Rhinolophus ferrumequinum: one gene and its partner. The protein of the gene in region 2 interacts with the protein of the main gene of each other region in a pairwise test. Links are inferred from orthologs where the notes say so. Each region holds a gene or a part of one and is shown on either strand. Other genes may lie near its edges.

What was found. The genes of interacting proteins can lie anywhere in the genome.
Region 1: the proteins of RPA1 (region 2) and RPA4 interact in binary tests that used the Homo sapiens proteins (3 or more experiments, as listed by UniProt). The link is inferred for Rhinolophus ferrumequinum from reciprocal best matches to the Homo sapiens genes RPA1 and RPA4.

The regions. Positions count from the first base shown.
Region 1 is NC_046284.1:57,984,190-57,989,317, reverse strand, and holds RPA4 (replication protein A 30 kDa subunit), read left to right. Parts: upstream 1-3,838; coding exon 3,839-4,627; downstream 4,628-5,128. Other genes in the region: DIAPH2 (protein diaphanous homolog 2), read left to right, coding at 1,214-1,353.
Region 2 is NC_046304.1:16,154,689-16,161,757, reverse strand, and holds the start of RPA1 (replication protein A 70 kDa DNA-binding subunit), read left to right. Parts: upstream 1-4,046; 5' UTR 4,047-4,149; coding exon 4,150-4,182; intron 4,183-7,069. Other genes in the region: SMYD4 (SET and MYND domain-containing protein 4), read right to left, coding at 2,580-2,713. UniProt on the Homo sapiens protein: As part of the heterotrimeric replication protein A complex (RPA/RP-A), binds and stabilizes single-stranded DNA intermediates that form during DNA replication or upon DNA stress.

The sequences.
Region 1 (5,128 bases), on a different chromosome or scaffold from region 2:
ATAGTGCCACAGTGCTAGAAGGGAATCAAGTTCCCCTGCATAAGACTTTGTCAGACTTTAAACCGTTACTATTTAATGGAATTTTTAAAAATTCAGACATTAAGAATGATTGACAGTTTCTATATTGAGAAGGCATTCTCAATAAAAAGCCAAATAGTATGAAACCCTAGGGAATCCATTTCTCATTATTAACACATTGGTTTTTCTTTTTTTTTTTTTAATTCTATATCCTCTAATGATATGACTTCTGTCAAATGGGGAAAAAATGCTTTCCTTATTGTAGCTTCGATACTTAGCAGAAACAGTGTAATTTGTATGAACTTAGAAAATGGGACTCAAGCTAGAGTTTTAATTCAGAGGGATATGTCTGTAATATAGGAAAGGTAAGTTATGATTATGTGTATGCAGAATGTGAAACTGTGAGTTATTAGTACAATGAGTGTGTTGATATTTTCCTCCCAGCCTTTTCCTTAAACTACTTACATAGTTACGGCAAGGTGATGAAGCTCGAGAGCTGTGATGAAATAATGAGTTCTAGAAATAACCCCAAGTATATTGGAAATTAAGTTAAAAACTAGTCACTATCAGATAAATGCTTTTAATGACTTTTTAGGATTAATCTATAACACAAGACTAACAAAGTTAGAAAGGAATAGTTGGGAATTGGTGAATGTTTTAGACTAATTTCATTAACTAATGTGCTGATTGGAAACTATTGTTTTACATTTGAAAACCGTTTTCACCTGTTGTTTTTGAGATAGGCTGATATATTTCAGTAGATTTGAGTAATGTATAGCGTTTTCTATGACATTCTCTTCACTGTATTTTGTGAAATAGAACATAAATATCTTAGCTAGGAAAATTAATAAGATGATTTCTGAATGTTCATCTAGTGGGTGAAGGGGGACCAGCTACTGATAATCCTAATGCCTGCACTGTAAATTTGAGCATTCCTGTCAGTGATACTTTTTGCAACTCCAGTCCATGTTCAATTCAGGCCACGAGCACCCGCAGTATAATTTTCTTTTAAATGAGGCTGAGGGGAGTGTTGAGATAGACATAACATGATTTTACCGCATCAGTTCTATGACCACAAATTTTTGAGTGCCTAGCACTCTGCACGCATTTTCGTACAGTAAAATATTTACATATTCTATGCATTATCTATTCTTAAAAATAATACGTATATACTTATATTTTCTTTTATATATAGGGAGGGCTGAAAAACAGCAAACATGAATGCACCCTGTCTTCACAAGAATACGTTCATGAATTACGATCTGGTATTTCAGATGAGAAACTTCTTAACTGCCTAGAATCTCTGCGGGTTTCTTTAACCAGCAATCCTGTCAGGTAAGTGGCTCTTATTGTTTTAGTATGATTCATACAATTTGTACTGTACATAATTGTTGGGAGCGTAATCATTCATGGTATTTGAACCTCAAGATTTTCTTTTTTCTTTCTTTTTTTGGGGGTCAATTTCCTCCCCCCCTTGCACCCACTGCCCTCTGCATTCGAGGAGCTTTCTCTGCTACACTTGCCTTCCCTCCCTGCCTCTCTGTCTGCTCTCCCTCCCACTCCTTTGTCCCACCCTGCCCAGGCTGCCCGGCTCCTGCAGCCTCCCGCACCCCCACCCACCATCCATGTGGAACCTCAAGATTTTCTGACCAGAAGTCTGATGTTAGTTAATAGAACAGCAGTGTCTGATTATGAGGTTGTAAACATTTAACAAATGTAGTTAAAATCTGATCACTAATCGTGCAATTTTAAGAATACAAATATTACTTGGATGTTAATTCCTCTTTGATTATATAAACATGGATCTAGAAGTTAAATATGCACATTTACATGGAAATATGTGTACTCATATAAAGATTATATTATTTGTAAAACAAATTCAGTATATTGGCTCCATGATATTATTCCTTTTCAACTTGAAGTAAATACATTTTTACATTCTTCTACAAGTTTTAGATCCACTACTCATACATTTCTGTAATTTGGGATAGCAAAAATTAAATTATTTTGACCAATAAAAGAAATGAGAAAGTATTAATAAATTCATTTTGGCACATAATTAAATTGCTATTTAAAATTAAAATCAGAATTTATCATTTTTTTCACATTTAAAAAAAAGGGAAGTATTAATAAACTTCAAAACGCTATACATTTAGGCTATTACCTAGATACGAAGTATAACTGATGTTACTTTATTAAACATAAAAAGCCTTAAAATAATTATATCCCAAATTAAATGTTTCTATAAGGAAAGTAGATGTTCAGAGTACTATGAAAATAGTTTTGGATCTACTTACACAGTTGCTAGACTCTTAAATTCAAATTACTGGATAACAGTATATAGAAACCACATTTTGATTTTATTCATGTTTTTCCTAGTATATCGTGGGGGCCACATCTTGTACGTCTCTCACCTATCCACAGAGCCTTAAAAACAATTTAGAGCTCTGTCATTCCATTTGTATTCACGTATAATTTGAAATATATCATACTTCAGTTGACCCTTGAACAACGCGAGGATTAGGGGTGATGATCACCAACCAAGTTGAAAATCGGCGTATAATTTAAGTTAGCCTTCTCCATAACACGGATTCCAGACTGCCAGTTGACCCTTGAACCATGCAGGTGTGGACTACCGGGGTATAAGTGGCCCCGCGTTGTTCAACGGTCAACTATATTTATTTTCACCTATAGTGCATTTGGCAGAGTAATTGGGAAATTACGATTCTACAATAAAACATTTTAAAAGGCAGTGGTAAGATGTAACTTACCTTTCAATGTTAAAAAAGGTAGCGGTCTTGGCTATTTCTTCTAGAATGCTTCTGGTTTTAATAATTTGAACAAGGATGTGAGTTCTTTGAGAACAGTAGCCATGACGGTGGTCCCCCCTACCCCCTCGTCGTTCCCCCACCCACCCCGTCACCCTTGTTTCCCCGCCCCCCTTGTCTTACCCCTCTCCCTCCCCCCCCCGCCCCCGCATGCAATTTACAGCACACTACTGTCGTGCACTTACATGTTCCGGAATTTTTGTTGAATGGTTAATTGAGTGAATAAATGATTCTATAAGATGTGATTATAGAAGAAATATGCTTCTGGTTTTAAGATTCGAACAAGGAAGTGAGTTCTTTCAGAACAGTAACGATGGAGATGGTTCCCCCATAATCCCCTTCACACCCCCCATCCCCCCACCTACAGCGCTCTACCATAGTGCACTTAACGTGTTCTGAAATTTCTGTGGCATGGTTAACTGACTAAGACGTGACTAAAGAAGTATGCTTCTGGTTTTAGTGATTTGAGCAAGAAAGTGAGTTCCTTCAGGACAGTAACCATGGCGGTAGTACCCCTGTCATTTACCGCCACCCCCTACCCCGTCTCCTTCACCCCTTGTCCCCCTCATCTATAGCACTTTGTGTTCCGAAATTTCTGTTGGATGGTTAACTTGAGTGAATAAATTAATCTTTAAGAAGTGACTATTGAAGAAGTTGTGACATTTAGGAACGAAGAGGGGGGGGCTGGCAAAAAAGTATTTTTATATGATGGCAGGAAAGGCTGAAATTACACACGGGGCCTTTAAAATGCAGCCCAGCAAGCAGGAGCTGACTCCAAAGAATTGTGGGATCAGTCGAGAAGCTGGCAGGTTCTGATTGGCTGGAGGCACCTACATTCTGGAAGCTGATTGGCTCCACTGGTGGCGTAAGCTGCTGGTGTCGTCACAAGGCACGCATTCGGTGGTCGCCCGCAGCAGAGGTCGGAGCCTGGCCGAGGACCTCGCCGACTAGAGCCAGATCCCGCCACGTCGTCGGCCTGAGCTGTCCTTAAGATGAGTACGAATGCTTTTGAGAGCAGCGGCGGCTTCTCTGCTGCGGGTGGAGGCAGTGGGAGCAATGAGCACCCCTCTCAGGGCGGCGCCCCTCCTGCTGCGATGGCTCCGAGATCCAGGGCTCGAATCCGGGACATTATACCTTGTTGTGTAAACCAGCTGCTCACGGCCACTCTGGTCGACAATGTTTTCAAGGTCAGGGGAATAGAGGTTTCCCAGGTCTCCATCGTGGGGCTCATCAGGAGGGTGGACAGAGCTCCATACTACATTCTTTACAAGATTGATGATATGACCTCCAAGCCTATCGACGCCCGCCACTGGCTCGGCAGAGACAGAGCGAAGCAGGAGCTGACTCCGTTTCCGGCGGGAGTATATGCCAAAGTGTTCGGTATCCTCAGAGGTTCCGCCGAGGTGAAGAGCCTTGAGGTGTTGAAGGTCCGCATCCTGGAAGACATGAATGAGTTCACCGCACATATTCTGGAAACGGTCAACGCGCACATGATCCTGGCTAAACGCCTCCAGGAGGCCCCTGGGCAGAATGCACCTGTTGCTCCATCCAAAGTGGAGGAGGTTGCGGAGTGCGGCGAGTCCAACCTCGACTTCATCAGGAAGGAGGTGCTGCGCTTGATCCACGAGTGTCCTCAACCGGAAGGCAAGAGCGTTCACGACCTCCAGACCGAGCTTCGCAGCCTGGGAGTCGGCGCCCTCCAGGAAGCCCTCGATTATCTGATGGTGGAGGGTCACATCTACCCCACGGTGGACCGGGAGCATTTTAAATCTGCCGATTGAAGCGCGAGAAGGTTTTTCATTTTCCGAAGACCCTTGCCTCCAGCTGTGAAGTGTGTTTGACCTGTTGACTTTTAAGAAGTAGTTTGTTGTTTTTCCGACAAAAGATCTCAACTGGCTTCCTTTGGAACCTCACTGCTTTTCCAACCGCTTTGAACTTTTCTGTTTTATATTTGAACCGCAGAGGGAGATGCGATGGATACATTGATTGGACTTTTTGTAGGATTTACCAGCAAACAAATGAAAACACTCCTGATGGGGTGAATTTGAGGGAGAAAAGGTACAGAAAAAGTTAAATATTATTTAGTTGAAGGAGAGCGTCTTTTTTTCTGAAATATCTGTGTATTAGGAGAAAATAGGTGTAGTCATGGAGCCAGCTGAGAGACAATTTTTTTTTCTGTTGTTTTTATGTTAGACTTATTTTCTAAGTTTGGTTTTAGCTTATTATCGTCATTGTTATTTCTTGCTAAATATAGTGATTAATTCAAATGTGCTAAAGATAGC
Region 2 (7,069 bases):
AGTTAATATCATTCCCAATGGGGAAAAGCTAAACGCATTCCCCTTAAGATCAGGAACAAGACAAGATTGCCCACTTTCCCCACTTTTATTCAACATAGTCCTGGAAGTTTTAGCCACAGCAATTAGACGAGAAAAAGAAATAAAAGGCATCTAAATTGTAAAGGAGGAAGTAAAATAGTCATTATATGCAGATGACATGATACTATATATAATCCCAAAGATTCCACCAAAAAAACTATTAGAACTGATAAACAAATTTAGTAAAGTAGGATACAAAATTAATATTCAGAAATCGGTTGCATTTTTATACACCAATAACGAATTATAAGAGAAATTAAGAAAACAATCCCATTTACAATTGCATCAAAAAAATATTTAGGAATAAATTTAACCAAGGAAGTAAAAGACCTATACTCAGAAAATTATAAGACATTAAAGAGAGACATTAAAGAAGATACAAATAAATGGAAATATATACCATGCTCATGGATAGGAACAATTAATATAGTTAAAATGTCCATATTACTCAAAACAATATATAGATTCAACACAATCCCTATCAAAATACGAATGAAATTTTTCACAGAACTAGAACAAATAAACCTAAAATTTATATGAAACTATAAAAGACCCCGAATAGCCATGGCAATCCTGAGAAATAAGAACAAAGCGGGAAGTATCATGATACCTATATCAAAGTATACTACAAGGCTATAGAAATCAAAACAGCATGGTATTGGCATAAAAACAGACACATAGATCAATAGAACAGAAGAGAGAGCCCAGAAATAAATCCATGCCTATATGGTCATTTACTCTATGACAAAGAAAGCAAGAATTTACATTGGGGTAAAGACAGTCTATTTAATAAATGGTGCTGGGATAACTGGACAGATATATGCAAAAAAAATAAACTGGACCACCTTCTTCTGCCATATACAAGAATAAACTCAAAATGGATTAAACACTTAAATGTAAGACCCCAAACCATAAAACTGTTAGAAGAAAGTATAGGAAGTCAGACATTACCTTTAGTAATATTTTACTGATATATCTCCTCGGGCAAAGAAACCAAAGAAAAAATAAACAAATGGGACTACATCAAACTAAAAAGTTTTTTCCCAGCAAAGGAAACCATTAACAAAACAAAAAGACATCCTATTGAATGGGGGAAGATATTTGCCAATGATACACCTGATAAGGGGTTAATATCCAAAATTTATTTAAAAAACTCATACAATTCAACACCAAAAAACCAAACAATCCAATTGAAAAATGGGCAAAGGACATGAAGAAACATTTCTTCATAGAGGACATACAGATGGCCAATAGACACATGAAAAGATGTTCAACATAACTAATCATCAGAGAAATGCAAATAAAAACCACAATGAGATACCACCTCACTCCTATCTGAAAAGCTATCATCAATAAATTAACAAACAACAAGTGCTGGCGAGGATGTGGAGAATAATGGAACTCTGTGCACTGTTAGTGCGATTGCAAATTGGTGCAGCCATTATGGAAAACAGTATGGAGGTTCCTCAAAAAATTAAAAATAGAACTACTTTATGACCCCACAGTTCCACTCCTGGGTATTTATCCAAAGAAATTCAAAACACTAATTCAAAAAATATATGTGCACCCCTATGTTTACTGCAGTGCTATTCACAATAGCCAAGATATGGAAACAACCCAAATGACCATCAGTAGATGACTAGATAGAGAAATTGTGGTACATTTATACAATGGAGTACTACTCGACCATAAAAAAGAACAAAATCTTTCCATTTTCAACAACATGGATGGACCAAGAGGATATTAGTCTAAATGAAATAAGTCAGACTGAGAAAGACAAATATCATATGATCTCAATCATATGTGGAATCTAAAGAACAGAATACACGAGCAAACAAAACAGAAGTAGACTCAGAGATACAGAGAAAAAAAACTGATGGTTGCTACTAGATGGGAGGGGGTAGGAGGGAGAAGGTGAAGGGATTAGAAAGTACAAACCGGTAGTCACAAAGTAGTCACGGGGATGTGAACTACAGTACGGAGAATATAATCAGTAATGTAAAGATTATGTAGGGTGTCAGATGGGTACTGGAATTATCAGGGGGATCACTTCATAGATTGTGTAGATGCCTGATCACTGCACTGTACACCTGAAGCTGATGTAGAGTAATACTGAATGTCAACTATAATTAAATGTATATATATATAGTCACAGAATGTAAAGTACAGCATAGGGAATACAGTCAATGGTATTGCAATGGCTATGTATGATGTCAGAGGGGTAGTAGACTTGTTGGGGTTATCACTTTGTGAGGGGTATAAATGTCTAATCATGTTGTTTTGTACATCTGAAACTCATGAAAAATAAATAAAAATAAATAAAATAAATAAAATAGGGTTACTTGACCACACAAAAAAATTAAAATGACAAAATGCTTTATGCAAAAAACAAAATAAACTTAAAATCTTTCCATCAAAATGAGATATAACTTGAGAGCAAATGACAAAAGGGAACATTTTCCAGATTAAAATTTCCCTGGTTAAAGCTTTCATTAACTTACTGAAGAAGCGAAGAGGTGTGAAGAAAGACATCGCTCAAAGTCTCTGCTGTAGAAATTGTGACCTGAATGGACTTTGGGAGCAAAGCCCACTTCTGAAATAGGTATGATTTCCACTCATCTACGGGCAGATCCATGCTACTTTAAGTCTACAAAATGAATAAGAAAGTAAGGAATTTAGATTTCTACAAATGCACAATTTTTGAAAATCCAGATTTCATTCCAGCAAGCATGAAGCAACATAATCAATTCTTGTGCTCTTTTTCTATAGTTGTTTACATGCTGAAGAAGGATCTATATTTTCTCCAATTCACTCAACATTCTTTCATTCAGAGATTATTTATTGAAAACCTACTTTGTTCCAGGCACCACGCTAGGTGAATTGACAGCCACCATCCTTGTTCTCTTAGAACTCCATCTACCCTAGTTGCTCAAGTCAGAAACCTTAAGAGACCTCCCAGATTCTTCTTTCTCACTCTCCCCAGCAACTATTAACAAATATTTATATCTCTTACAGAGTTCAGTTTTTTTTTCAATCCCCAGGTCATTCTTTTAATTCAAGCCTTCACCATGTCTTGTCTGGCATTCTTTCCAGCCTGTCGTAACTAATCTCCATACCCTCAGTCCCCCCCCACCCCAATTTAATCCTTCTGCATTCAGACAGATGTCAGTACTCTGCCTTAACTTCATCAATGCTCCTCCTAGCATTTAGGAAAGCCCCATAGAAACCCTTCATTATTTGACCCTTGGCTTACTAATGTTCAAGTCTCACCTCCTCTGTAGGTAACTACTATCCTGAGCTATTCAATGCCATCCCCAGCTTGCCAGGCTATTCATCACTCCAGTTTTTGCATAGGCTATTCATTTTTCCAGGTTCATCCCTGCCCTCACTTGGAGTCCACCAAGCAAATTTCCACACATCCGTCAAGACTCAGTTCAAATGACACCTCCTCCGGGAAGCCTTTTCTGATTTTACATCAGTGTGATTCCAGCATACTTTGTCTCTCTCCTGGGGCCCATACCATGTCTACCTTGAGTTAGGGCTACTTACAGCGGAAGCTCCCGCGACAGCCTATGTTCTTTTCTGAGGGCAGGAACCAGGTTTTATTTACCTTCAGAAAGTGTGCTAAGCTCAGGATCAAGTCACTGCTTTGACTACATTTAGCAGCAGGGTTATCAGGGAGCAGCTCTAACTCTCCTCTGGGCTACCAGTCGAGCCGGGTATGTTTCCGAGAGCCCGCTCGCCAAGATCCCGGAACTGTTCCACTCGCTTCATTTAGCGGCGCTCGCGTCAACCTTGGCGCGTCCCGTAGCCTGGCTCTGTGCCCTCAGATCCCGCCATCCGGCGACTAGGCCTGAAGTTAGGCTTGGGAGGGTCACGTGGTCGTCCGCCGCGCCTCGGCCAATGCGGTGGCTGCTCAGCCCCTAGACCCGCCCCTGTGCCGTGTAAACGACAAGAGGCGGAAGTGGCGTACTCAGCTCCTCGGGCCAATTGCCTTAGAGCGCGCCGTACTCCGCGGGTGAAGCCTGGGCAGCAGCGCAGCCGAAGCGCGGGAGTTGTTGCGGCGGAGCCATGGTGGGCCACCTGAGCGAAGGGGCCATTGCGGTGAGGAGATGCCTGCGAGCTGGGCCGGAGGGCCGGAGTGGTTGTGGGCTCTGGGGCTGTGCGGATTGGAGAAGGGGAAGAAGAGCTGGAGGCGAGAGGGAAGAGAAAAGGAAAGGAGGAGATAGCGGGAATGGGTGGGGGGGAACCGCCGGGTGGACTCCCTAGAATCATCACCCTTTCTTGAAAGGATTTTTCCCATCGTCTTTTAAACATGCTTACGTTTTCCTGCTTAAGAACACGAAACAAAATAAACTGTTGACTCCCCCCATCTCCTGAGACTATTCTCTGTCTCCTTCCCTCCCCCCCCACCCACAGCCAAATTTCTCCAGAATTGTCTGTTTTCAGCTATTTCATTTCCGATTTCACAGAGAAAGTGTTTGAGCCTTCAAGCCCAGGTAGTCCATCTGACCCCGTGCCCTGGTCTGCTTGTCTGTCTCCTGCACTAGGCTGTCAGCGCATTGAGGTCAGAGACCTGTCTTGCTTTCTGTATCCCCAGTGCTTGGCACAGAGTAGACACTCAATACATGTTGAATTCATGAAAGCCAACGCTCACCAAACATAAACACTAGATGGGGTATTCTAAAGAGCCACACTTCTTGCAAAACTGCTAAAATGCAAAGGGATATTGCTCTTTTAGCTAAATCATGGCTGTTTAGAATTCTGGTTGTTTCAGAACTTTCTTATAGGTGCTGCAGAGTTGTGGGGTGTGGCTGACTGCAGTACATAGAGGACATACGGGTTTGCCACGCTCTCTGAGGCAATGAGAAATCGCTCCAATGAAACCAAAACCATATCTGCCATTTTAAAAACAATTAGAAAGAACTAAGCAGGGGCACAGAAAAGAGCATTTCTTAGTTGATTCTGGAGAAATGAACCTGAGCCTTGTCCACAGTGGCAGCAGGACTTGGAATGTCCGGGCACAGCTGAAAGGACGACTTCTGAGAGCCACTGGAGTTGCACAACCGCCCTCCATCAACCCATTAACCCACTTTAATCAGTCACCCCCATGATCACTGTAGAAATAACTAGGGCTGAAATTCACAGTGCCTCCAAGTGGCTAAATCCAACAGATGCTTCAATTTTCAATTTATCAGAGTGCTCAGCAGCATTTGAGTCTTGAGCATTGCTTCCTTCTGGTGACAATCTCTTCTTTGCGCTTCTGTGGCGCAGCTTGGCTGGTTTTCACATCCTATTTACAGGTTTCTCTTTGTAAATGTTTGTTGACTCAAGGCTCTCTTCCAAGACAACCTCATTACCATCTCTATGTTACTTGCTCACAAGTTTCTTTGTCCGGAGTCACCTTTTACTCTGAAAGACAAAACTCTAATTTATCCTACCTGATACCTCAAAGTCATTTAAATTTCAACATGTCCCAAATCAGAACTATCTTTCTGAATCTGGGCCGCTTGGTATTCTCTATCTGGGTGAATTGCACTATTATCCATTAAGTTATGCTAGCCAGAAATTGAGCAATTGAGGACTCATTCTTCCTGTGTCACCCTGAATGTTCAGGATACATGTTTACTTGCACATGTATCTCTTAACTCCATCTACTTCCCTCCATCCTCGCTGGCACCATCATTTTTTGCCTGGATCACTCACTGCCACTCAGCATACCCTCCTCCTGCTATTTCCATTATAGCATATTCTCAACTTGTTCTCTCTTCCTTTCCAGTCCTTTTTCTCTTTAAATTCCTGGTTTATTCTATACCCTTGCCTTCCACAGGGTTTTGATCATTCTTTTCCCTCTGCCTACTGCCCAGGTGGTTTTTCACTCTCATAGGCTAACAGTCTTCACATCTCAGTTCAGTTGTTAACTTCCCATGCTAGGTGAAATCCAGTTATTTTGAGACCCAAATTTCTCTGAGTTCACTTATCAACTCTGTGACTTTGGGCAAGATGTTAAACTTGGCCTTTCCTCTTCTGTAAAATAGGGTAATAATATCTAATACCTATTGGATAGTGGGAGGATTAAGGGAGTTCTTACATTTAAAGTGCTTAGCCCATGCCAGATACATAGCGACTGCTCAGCATGTTAATTACCTATTGATAATCACAGATGTAAGCTTACATTTATTTGTTGTTGATTTGATTAATATCAGGTACTTTCTGTCTCCACCACTGGACTACATTTTTTTTAGGTCTGAAATGATGTCTGTTTGTTTTTTTTTTTTTTTTTTGCTCAGCATGGTACCTTGAATACCTGGGGCAGTGCTGGCAAGTTTTAGGTGCCCAATAAACGTTTGCTAGTTGCATATGAGGCGGTGAAAAGAAAGGGACAGAGATGAATGGGGAAGAAAGGGAGCTTGGGGGAAACAGGAAGGGGAAGAACAGTTGGCGGAATGAATGGATATTTTAATAAATTAGGAATAATTAGACCTGGGAAGTAATTGCAAATTGTCATCATTTACTTTATAGCTGCTTTTCAGACAAATTATGGGAGTAGGAAAAAAATTAGGAACAGCTCTTCACTTTAAAAAAAATGAATGATTATGAGGTTTTTGCTATATTCAAGATTTTAGAAACATATTTCTAGTGTCAGATAAAGTATTACTTCGGTTTTATTCATAAATGACAAAGAAAAGTTTTGCCTATGTTTGTGGTGACAGATTGTAGAGGACCTTTGTCAACTTTGATTATTAGCTAAAGCAAATAATATCATTTTAGTTTAAAAGACACAGGCCCTAATGGGCAAACAACTAACACACAAATAGCAGAGGCATTGTGGGCAAGAGCTAACACAAAGTAAGAGAGAATGCATGGGACTATTGTGATAAATAGAACGAACAGCTTTTATATTGTAAGTAACTGGGTAATATAAAGAAAGGCAAAGGAAGTAATGTTTTCGACCATTTCCAATGTGCCAGATACTTTATAATAGCCAGTA